Linked DNA regions of Neurospora crassa OR74A. The protein of the gene in region 2 purifies or fractionates together with the protein of the main gene of each other region. This does not show direct contact. Links are inferred from orthologs where the notes say so. Each region holds a gene or a part of one and is shown on either strand. Other genes may lie near its edges. The genes, in order: NCU05608 and NCU00621.

Region 1 (3,711 bases), on a different chromosome or scaffold from region 2:
CCACTTGTTGTTGTAGTGGGTAGCCTTGTAGTAGCAGTCAAGGACTTCGGCGCGGTACCTCTGCTGCCAATCGTCCTTGTTCAGCGAGACCATCCACTCACCCTGGCGTAGATAGCACTTGGCCAGCAAGACAGTCTGCTCAAGCCAGTGTTTCTGTGCCTGTGGATGCATCATCTCTTCATTGAACTCGGCAAACCCTGGCTGGTTTTGCACCTCCATGCCGTTCTGTGCATGGGCAGCCATGTGCATACGCGAGGTTTCAACGCGGTGCGCAGTCTCCTGCGTGAACCTCTGCAGGCAGTACAGCGTCTTCTCGGCAACCCTGTGCTCCGAATTGCGGAATCCTGGTGACTGTCCAATCTCCCACTGGAACTTCAGAACCGCATACAAGATCGGAGACGCGATTCTGTTGCCGACCGAGCCCGGATGGCGATCGTGCCAGTAGGGAATGACAGAGTCCAATGGCGAGTCGGTTCCAATAAGCTGCTTGAGTGACTTTTCGGCGAGTCCCATGCGGCCCGACTTGCGACAAAGGTTGGCAAACTTGGTCCACATATGCATGTTCTCCTGCGGAGTCATGACAAGCGATCTCAAACGCAGCATGCGTTGCCATACCTCGACATTGCGCTGGCAGCCCTTGAGACGAGTCTCCCAGGTTCTGCGCATGGTAGCCTGCTTCTCTCCGTCGCATTGCTTGTAGACAATGAGCTCTTCCAGCTCCGCGAGCATCTGGACGCGTACTACAACCTGATAAGCCCGGTTGTAAGACTCGCTAACAAGCGCACTAAGCTCGGTATCCAGTCCTTCGCGAGCTTGCTCGATGCATGCCATAGCCTCCCTGAACTGATTGCGGTGAAGGGCCAGAATCGCACCGAAGAAAGCTCTATCTGGGGAGAAGCGCTTCATTGACTGAAGGTAGCTGTCCATCGAGTCCCATTTGCCGAGACCCCAGGCAGCGGTTGTGGCCAATGGAGCAATGCGTCTCTGAATTTCAGGGGCCGAATTGGCCCAGGTCTTTCCAGCAAGCGTAGCCAGAGAATCCCACTCGCCAAGAGCGTGATAACAACGCATCTTGCCCATCACAATGTCGACGGGAACAGGCTGGTCTTCGGGAATTTCGCGCTCACGTTGGCAGTAGAAGTTGAGGGCCTCGTCCCAACGCTCGAGCTTCTCGAACCAACTCTCGCGCAACTGGATACCCTCCCTGTAGGTCTTGACTTTACGAAGAATACCGATGGCAGCATCGGATTGCTGAAGCTGGTTGTTGATGACAATCAAAGCCTCCACTGCACCACTATTATGGTCCTGCAAAAACTCGAGCTCTTTATAGTGAAGAGCCTTTGCGTATGCGTGGCAACGTGCGGCCTCACGTCCCAATACTCTTATGTCAATAGGCAGCGCCTTATCATCGTGCTCCATGAACTCGGCAAGGTTGAGGAGCTGGCCAAGGAGATCCGGTGGCACGTTCTCCGATTTGATCGTATTCTCAATGTTGGTGATCAAGTCCTCCTGTTAAACAAGCTGTTAGTATCCGGCTCGGATCATTCTAAATACCGCGCTGACATACCTGGAACTGTTCATAAAGCTCGCTCCAGCAGGACACGAAGGCCGAGTTGAAGAGCTCACGCGCAAGAGGCTGGTAGTTGCTGGCCAAGCTGGCACAAGCACGCAAGGAATGGTTCGGCGACTCGGTAAGAAGAGTTGTGCTAAACTTCCTGAACCACTCATGCCAATCGTCCTTGGTGGACTTGCCCTTTGTTTCCCACACTTGCTTGAGATGCACCGGATTCAGGGTCAACTTCTTGGGCGGGTTGTTTTCGGCAGCAAAGCCCTCCATGGAGATGTCTTCAAACCGAGGAGCGAGATTTTGTGGGAGGGCCTCGCCCTTCTTTAGCTTCTCGATGGCCTTTTCGTAATTCGAGTGCTGGATGGCATACATGGAGATCGCCTTGTCGACTGTGTGCTCGAAATGCAAGTAGTCGCGTCCTAGTTGCAGCATAAGGGCGCAAAGTGTGTCCAAAGCCGCTACCCGAAGACTCGGCTCGCCACTAGCCAACACACGAGTCAGAGGATGGATGATCTTTGACGCGTAGTCGTTCAAGTTCACCATGCTCGAAAGCTTGCCGATCGTCTCGATAGCCGATTTCCGAAGGAACAATGGCTGGCTGTGACTGTCGAAGAGGCGTACAATAACTGGGATTATCAAATGCATGTACTCTTCGGCGCTTGAGCCAAATACCAGGAACGCGTGGAACACTTTCTCGCTAGGTTGCCGCTTCGTGCTAACATCCTTCTCGAGCACGCCTAGCATAAGTGGGAGTAACTTGGCGAGGTAAATCTTGAACTCGCCCTCAAGAGACCGCGAGATTGACTCTATCAGCCCCAGGATAGTGCTCTGAAGCGCGAGAGTTGTGTGCCAGTACTCCTGAAGAACATCGATGATGTCCTTGAGATAAACTCGGATGTGTTGGCGAACGATACTGACCAGCCTGCTCAAGTGATTGAAGTAGAACTCAAGCCGGGCGTTGCTCGACGCACGGATGACTGATATGAAGGCGGGGACCACACGATCAAGGAACTGTACACACTTCAGTCCCAGAGTGATGAAAATGCTCATGATGGCATCGACAACGTTTCCGTGCCACTGGACTAAAGACTGATCCTTCAGGATCTGAAGCAGTGCGTTGATCACCACGGTCGGATAGTAGTCTTCATTAGATGGTGTTAGGCCACCCATCATCAGAGAGACATCAGTCAGTTGGGCGGCTTCATTGTTCCGCTTGTTGTCATCAGTCCTTTCTTCGACCTGCATCAAGTTAGTCAACGCGGTTTTGAGGGAATCGGGGGTCTTGTTTGAGGGGTTTCCGCTCCTCGCACTCGCGACATTGGCCACTTGGCTGGCCATACTGTCCTTTGCAGGACTAGCCTGGAGCATTTCATATAGGTGATCGGTCAAATGCCGAAGGTGCTTGATTTCGTCTGGAATTGACCTCAGGGTATCCTATACCTGATGTTTGTAAGGGTCCAGAGCGCCTAGGATGCCCATAAGTTTGATGGTCTCCTGTCGCAATGTGCCGTGTTGGGGCTCTCCGCGGATGATTGACTGGAGAATCTCCAGAAGTTGGGGATATTCGAGATAGGGTTTGATGACATAGCCAGCGTTGCTAGCAAGTTGACCGAGTGTGTGGAGAGCAGCTTCCCGCTTGATAGGAGCACTCTGATCTTGTAGGGCATCAATGATAATGGGCATCAACGTATCCTTGTAAGCAAGCATCGATTCACCGCCGACCGTGCACAACTCGCCAATCGCCTGAAGGACAGTTGCAGCCACAGAAGGCGTGGGATCACGCGCTTTTGGTAAGAGAACCTCGGTTATGGAGTTCACGTAGGGCTTGACCAAGTCCTGGGCATGCTGCGTAAGCAGACTGAGCAACTTGGAACTCTCCTCTTTACTCCTGGCCACATCCGTGTATTCCAGTTCCGTTAGCATCTGAATAATGGTCTTACGCAACTGTGGAATGACGTAGGCCGGGTTGTAACGAGCCAGACGTCCGATGATCGAAACCGCAACTTCTCTGATGGCGAATTGTTCGTCGTGGAGGGCGAAAAACAAGGTCCGGATATTCTCAGCTTTGGCTAGGTGCTGATCGAAGCGCTCGTCGAGGGCGGCCAGAACAGTGCGTCTGATGCCGGGATCCGGATCCGAAACTC
Region 2 (4,331 bases):
TGATGCAGAGGCATGACCATTGCTTCAGGAGGGGGCCTTCTGGGCGTGCAATATGGTACAGGCAATAGGTCATAATGTCAGTTGAGTTACACACAAGCTGTCCAGGTTTATAGTCTTTGCACAGCATAGCCAAGATGAAAGCACACATCGCCTTGTGCTCATCCAAGAACCCGACGCTAACCATGGAGAGGGTATCTTGCGGCTTCATTATGGCCGCGAAGTAATTGTACCCGCTATCTTTGATGAGGTCTTGCTGGCATGAGATATCGACCGCAAGAACGCGAGTCCAGATGAACACCATGACTGGCTTTAGGTCTTGTGCCGCCGACTGGAGGAGCTTCAAGACGTACGGGAAGATGCCAATGCTGAGCGCCAGTTGTACTGCCCAAGGGCCAAGGTCCAAGAACCTTGCTAGTAGGACCAGAGCTCGTACTCGATGCTGCTGACTTAGCAACACTTGCAGAACCACTGGAAGCTGGTCAGGTGGCTTCTGGGACAAAGCATCCCCTCGAGTCAAGTAGATCTCGAATGCTGTGAGCTGCTCCGCGAAGAATGACGAGTTGATGTACTCATACTCTATCCCTTCACTCTCCTTTCTCTCGAGGGCCGGCAACTGGGCAAGAGCCAGATCGACGGCCAAGTCCCAGCTCTCCCAAAGGGGATGCTGACGTGTATCTGGCAACTCTGGATACGACTGGGGATGGCAGTTGTACACAGGCATGATACGCTGTGCGAGGAGAAAGTTTCGGAAAAGAGCGGCAACCATCAAATCTTGCCTAAAAAATTTGCGGAAGAGATGGCGTGGTAGCGTGGTCCATGCAATGGTATCTGTGATGGCAGTGAAAATCCAGTTGAGCTCTCCGAGAGGCGTCCGGCGCTCCTGAAGCCGCCCTGGCAGCTTCTTGGCTCGCTCAGGAGATATTTTGGTTTTTAGCGGATTTTGCAGACAGAAGAACCAGAGTGCCATCTCTATAGGGGTAGTCAAGCAGCAAGTGAAGAGATCAGCAGGCAGGTCGGGGTTGGTTGGCAGATTCTCCTTGACGTTGCAGGCTGCCAGATGGATGTAGGGACGGAAGTTAATCTTTTCGTGGTTTGGGTCCCGTTGTGCCGCCTCCTCTTCTTCTTGCTCGTGCTTCTCAACAAAACGGTGGTAATTGGTGAGGATATTGCCAGCCTCGGAGCAATCCCACACATATATCGTGGGCGCCTGCAACCATTGCTGAAGGTCGTAGAGAGAGACGGGGATATACTGCGTGTAGTTCTTGTTGAAAACCCAGATCTCTCCCGAGGCTGTTGGCTTGGGCACTCCATGCCCATTGTAATGGAAGAGCACACGCTCGTCCTTGGCACTTCTTCGGAGGGAGACACTGAACCGCTTGGTTTCTTCGATGGACGGGTCTAAATACTGCTTGTAGCGCGTCCGAATAGCAAGGGTCTCATATTGAGATTGCAAAGCTTTCCCAATATTCTCCAGTGCCTTGGAAACAGGAGGCACCGTCGGATCTTGCCAAGCTTCAAGCCGGGCACCCGGGGTGGTGCGAAGTTGATCTGGCGGTTCCACTCCTATGTTCAAGCATACTGCTATCGCAGCAGAAACTGTTTTTAGGCGATCGCGCATACGCCAGTCTTGGATCTCGAAAGCGGGTGTCTTTGGCTTCCCTGTTGTCTCATGTCGCTTATCGGTAAAGTACATGTACCAGCTCTGCTCAGCGCACGGTTAGTGACACCCCAGCCAACGGCAGAGACACAAATCAACGTACATTTGCAAGCTGAGAAATGACTTCTTCAGACTGATAATGGTCCTCGAACCCATGCCTGGCACCCCAATCATGGTACTCTTCGTCAACTTGTTCGATGGGGCTTTCCCTCTCCAACCGCAGTCCGTATTCGCTCTTAGACCGCGTTAATGGCGCCTTGGCCGGCCGGGCGACAGGCATATGGTCGTCGTCATCAGATTGCCCGCCATGCAACGTGGTTCCAGGAGATGTTTGGTTATTGTCGTCGGGGGCGCTGGAGGGGCGTCGAAACAAGGGCGCTGGTGAGGAATCGGACATGCGTCTCTGTATGTTGGATCGAAGTGGCAGCTGGTTATGGGCAGCAGGATGAGAGGTCCCGTTTGTCGCGACGCGCTGGTTGCCGTCTTCTGGCCTCTGAGGATGGACTTGTGACATTGTGACTGAACTTTGACGAGCTGGGTTGTTCATTGTGTGGCGGGATGGTGATGTAGCAGTTGATGACGGAAAGCCGGGCCTCGCGTAACGGCCAGAGGTGGGAGTGGGAGCAGAGGGCTGTCTCTGGCCAAATTCTGCGGAGCCGGGGTGGGAGGCGTGAAGAGAAACAGCAGTCATGGTACGCGACTAGACGAGAGCGAAGGTCATGGTCCTCGGAGGGTAGAGTCGGGTTTTCAAGGCCGCGACGAGGCCGGGTAGGCGATGAGTCGAGAACAGAGCAGCGGTGTAACAACTGAAGTCTGTAAAACAGCGAGCGTACGGTGACTTGGAGGTGATGTCGGCGGCCCAGGTAGATGCGCTATATCAGGCGGCACAACCAGAGCTGTATTTCCTGCAGAGGAGGGGACCGATCTGAAGGCTAGGGAAACGCAGAGGTTCGGATGCGCGTGGGGCAAGCGTGCGATTGACCGTCGGCTGTAACGAAGATGATGCGTATCTGACCAAGGTAGCCTGGTGGTAGTAGTTTGGTGGCAGTAGTAGTGCCGTCGTGACTTTCGTTGGATGATGCCGGTCTTTGCGCTGTAGGTTTGAGAGATGGGATTGGGTCAGTCAATCTAGCTAGACTTTTATCAGAGGCAGCTGCGTGCGGGTTATAGACGTAGATTCCCACTGCAGTGGGTGAAATGCGCTTCCGCTTGTGTAACCAGAGCCTACCAATTGTCACTGCCAGCAAATTGCCTGTGTTTCCACTACTTGGTATACCGAGGATATCGCAATAGCAGTTGGTGAGACTTGGGCAATACGAAACTACACGCAACTCCTACTGCTTTGAACTGGCAATGCCGGCCGTGATGATGTCGGCAGAGGGAACCGCTTCCTTGCCTGTGTGTTGTCGTGGTGGGTGCGGGTGGTGGTGGTGGGTTGATGCGGGCCGTGGAGCACAGACGTGTGGATGTGGATGCGCTGCCCATCAGCCATACGCTACTTGGGGGTTTCTGGGTGCCAAGGCTTCCTGTCCAGAGGGGAGGACTGCGGGGAGTGCCCGTTTCTCGGATGCTACACTACACTACTAGTCGTACCTCAAGTATTCAACCTCAAGGTAGAGTGAAAACAGTGAAGGGTGACCTGTACGGTACGTCTGTACCTAGGTACTAGAGGTAGTGTACTAGGTAGGTAGGCAGGCTGAAGGCCTTCTTGGCATCTCCCGCATACAAATAAGCCCAGCGGAGGTATTGTACCGCCCGAACCATCACGGTGTCACCACAGAAGGAGGCACTGAACGCACATGATGATGCAGTCAGTGCACATGGTGGTCCATGCTTTCAGCCTCACCCCCCTCGTTGGTACAAGTACGCTAAGCTGCATTCCTTGCGCCGCAACGTTGCCATTCTCCGTGGGACTTTTCATTCATTATCGATATTGCCCGAGTTAAGAAACGGTTCGTTGACTTGACTCGAGGCCTGCTTCGAGGATCTCACAAATCCATGCGTCGCCTCGGTCTGGATCCGATTCCCGTCGTTAGCCAATCACTTCTACATATACTGACTGTGCAGGACGGATTATCATCAGTTTGTCAAGCTTTGCGAACATGGAAATCTCCTCTCTATTGGCACGTTTTCAACCATCGAGCCATATGCATCAGTTGTCCTATGAGCCCTCTCAACACAAAATCGGCGAAGCTCACTCGACCGCAAGCCACGCTTCCATGGTATTTGCTAGATATCGATAGTCGTGCATGATGTCGCCGGCAGATGCCGAAGCCTTCCTGTTGTTCCTGCTCACCTGCTTGTGTCTTGATATTGACTACTTCGTTCCGTATCCTAGGATGGTTTAACACGATGGGATGGGCTGCAGTGGCATTCACACCTGAATATTCAACATAATCTACCTTGGATTTGTTGGCTGTGGGAAAAAAAGGTTCGAGTTGCATTGATCGTGCTTTTGCATGAACTCCAATTTCAAAAAATATCGGGGGTGGAGCCCCGGCCATTGGGGATCGCTGAGCAAGGGGTCTGTGCGCTTCGGCCCTTTGCCGCGGAGCGGGAACTTCACGTGAAAACGTCCGGAACGGGAGCCGGCCACCCCGAGGACACCTGCTCCGAACAAGTCCAAACGAGTTTCTGCATTCTGTCACGACATCCGACCAACCCATTCACATCG

Evidence for each region.
Region 1: the proteins of NCU00621 (region 2) and NCU05608 purify together in Schizosaccharomyces pombe (affinity purification with western blotting; 5 studies listed by BioGRID, with this or other methods). This does not show direct contact. The link is inferred for Neurospora crassa OR74A from reciprocal best matches to the Schizosaccharomyces pombe genes mip1 and tor2.

The regions. Positions count from the first base shown.
Region 1 is NC_026506.1:1,344,362-1,348,072, forward strand, and holds part of NCU05608 (phosphatidylinositol 3-kinase tor2), read right to left. Parts: coding exon 3,008-3,711; intron 2,807-3,007; coding exon 1,568-2,806; intron 1,510-1,567; coding exon 1-1,509.
Region 2 is NC_026501.1:7,805,815-7,810,145, reverse strand, and holds the start of NCU00621 (TORC1 growth control complex subunit Kog1), read right to left. Parts: upstream 3,067-4,331; 5' UTR 2,349-3,066; coding exon 1,761-2,348; intron 1,703-1,760; coding exon 1-1,702. UniProt on the Schizosaccharomyces pombe protein: Component of TORC1, which regulates multiple cellular processes to control cell growth in response to environmental signals. Tor2 is essential for growth. Nutrient limitation and environmental stress signals cause inactivation of TORC1.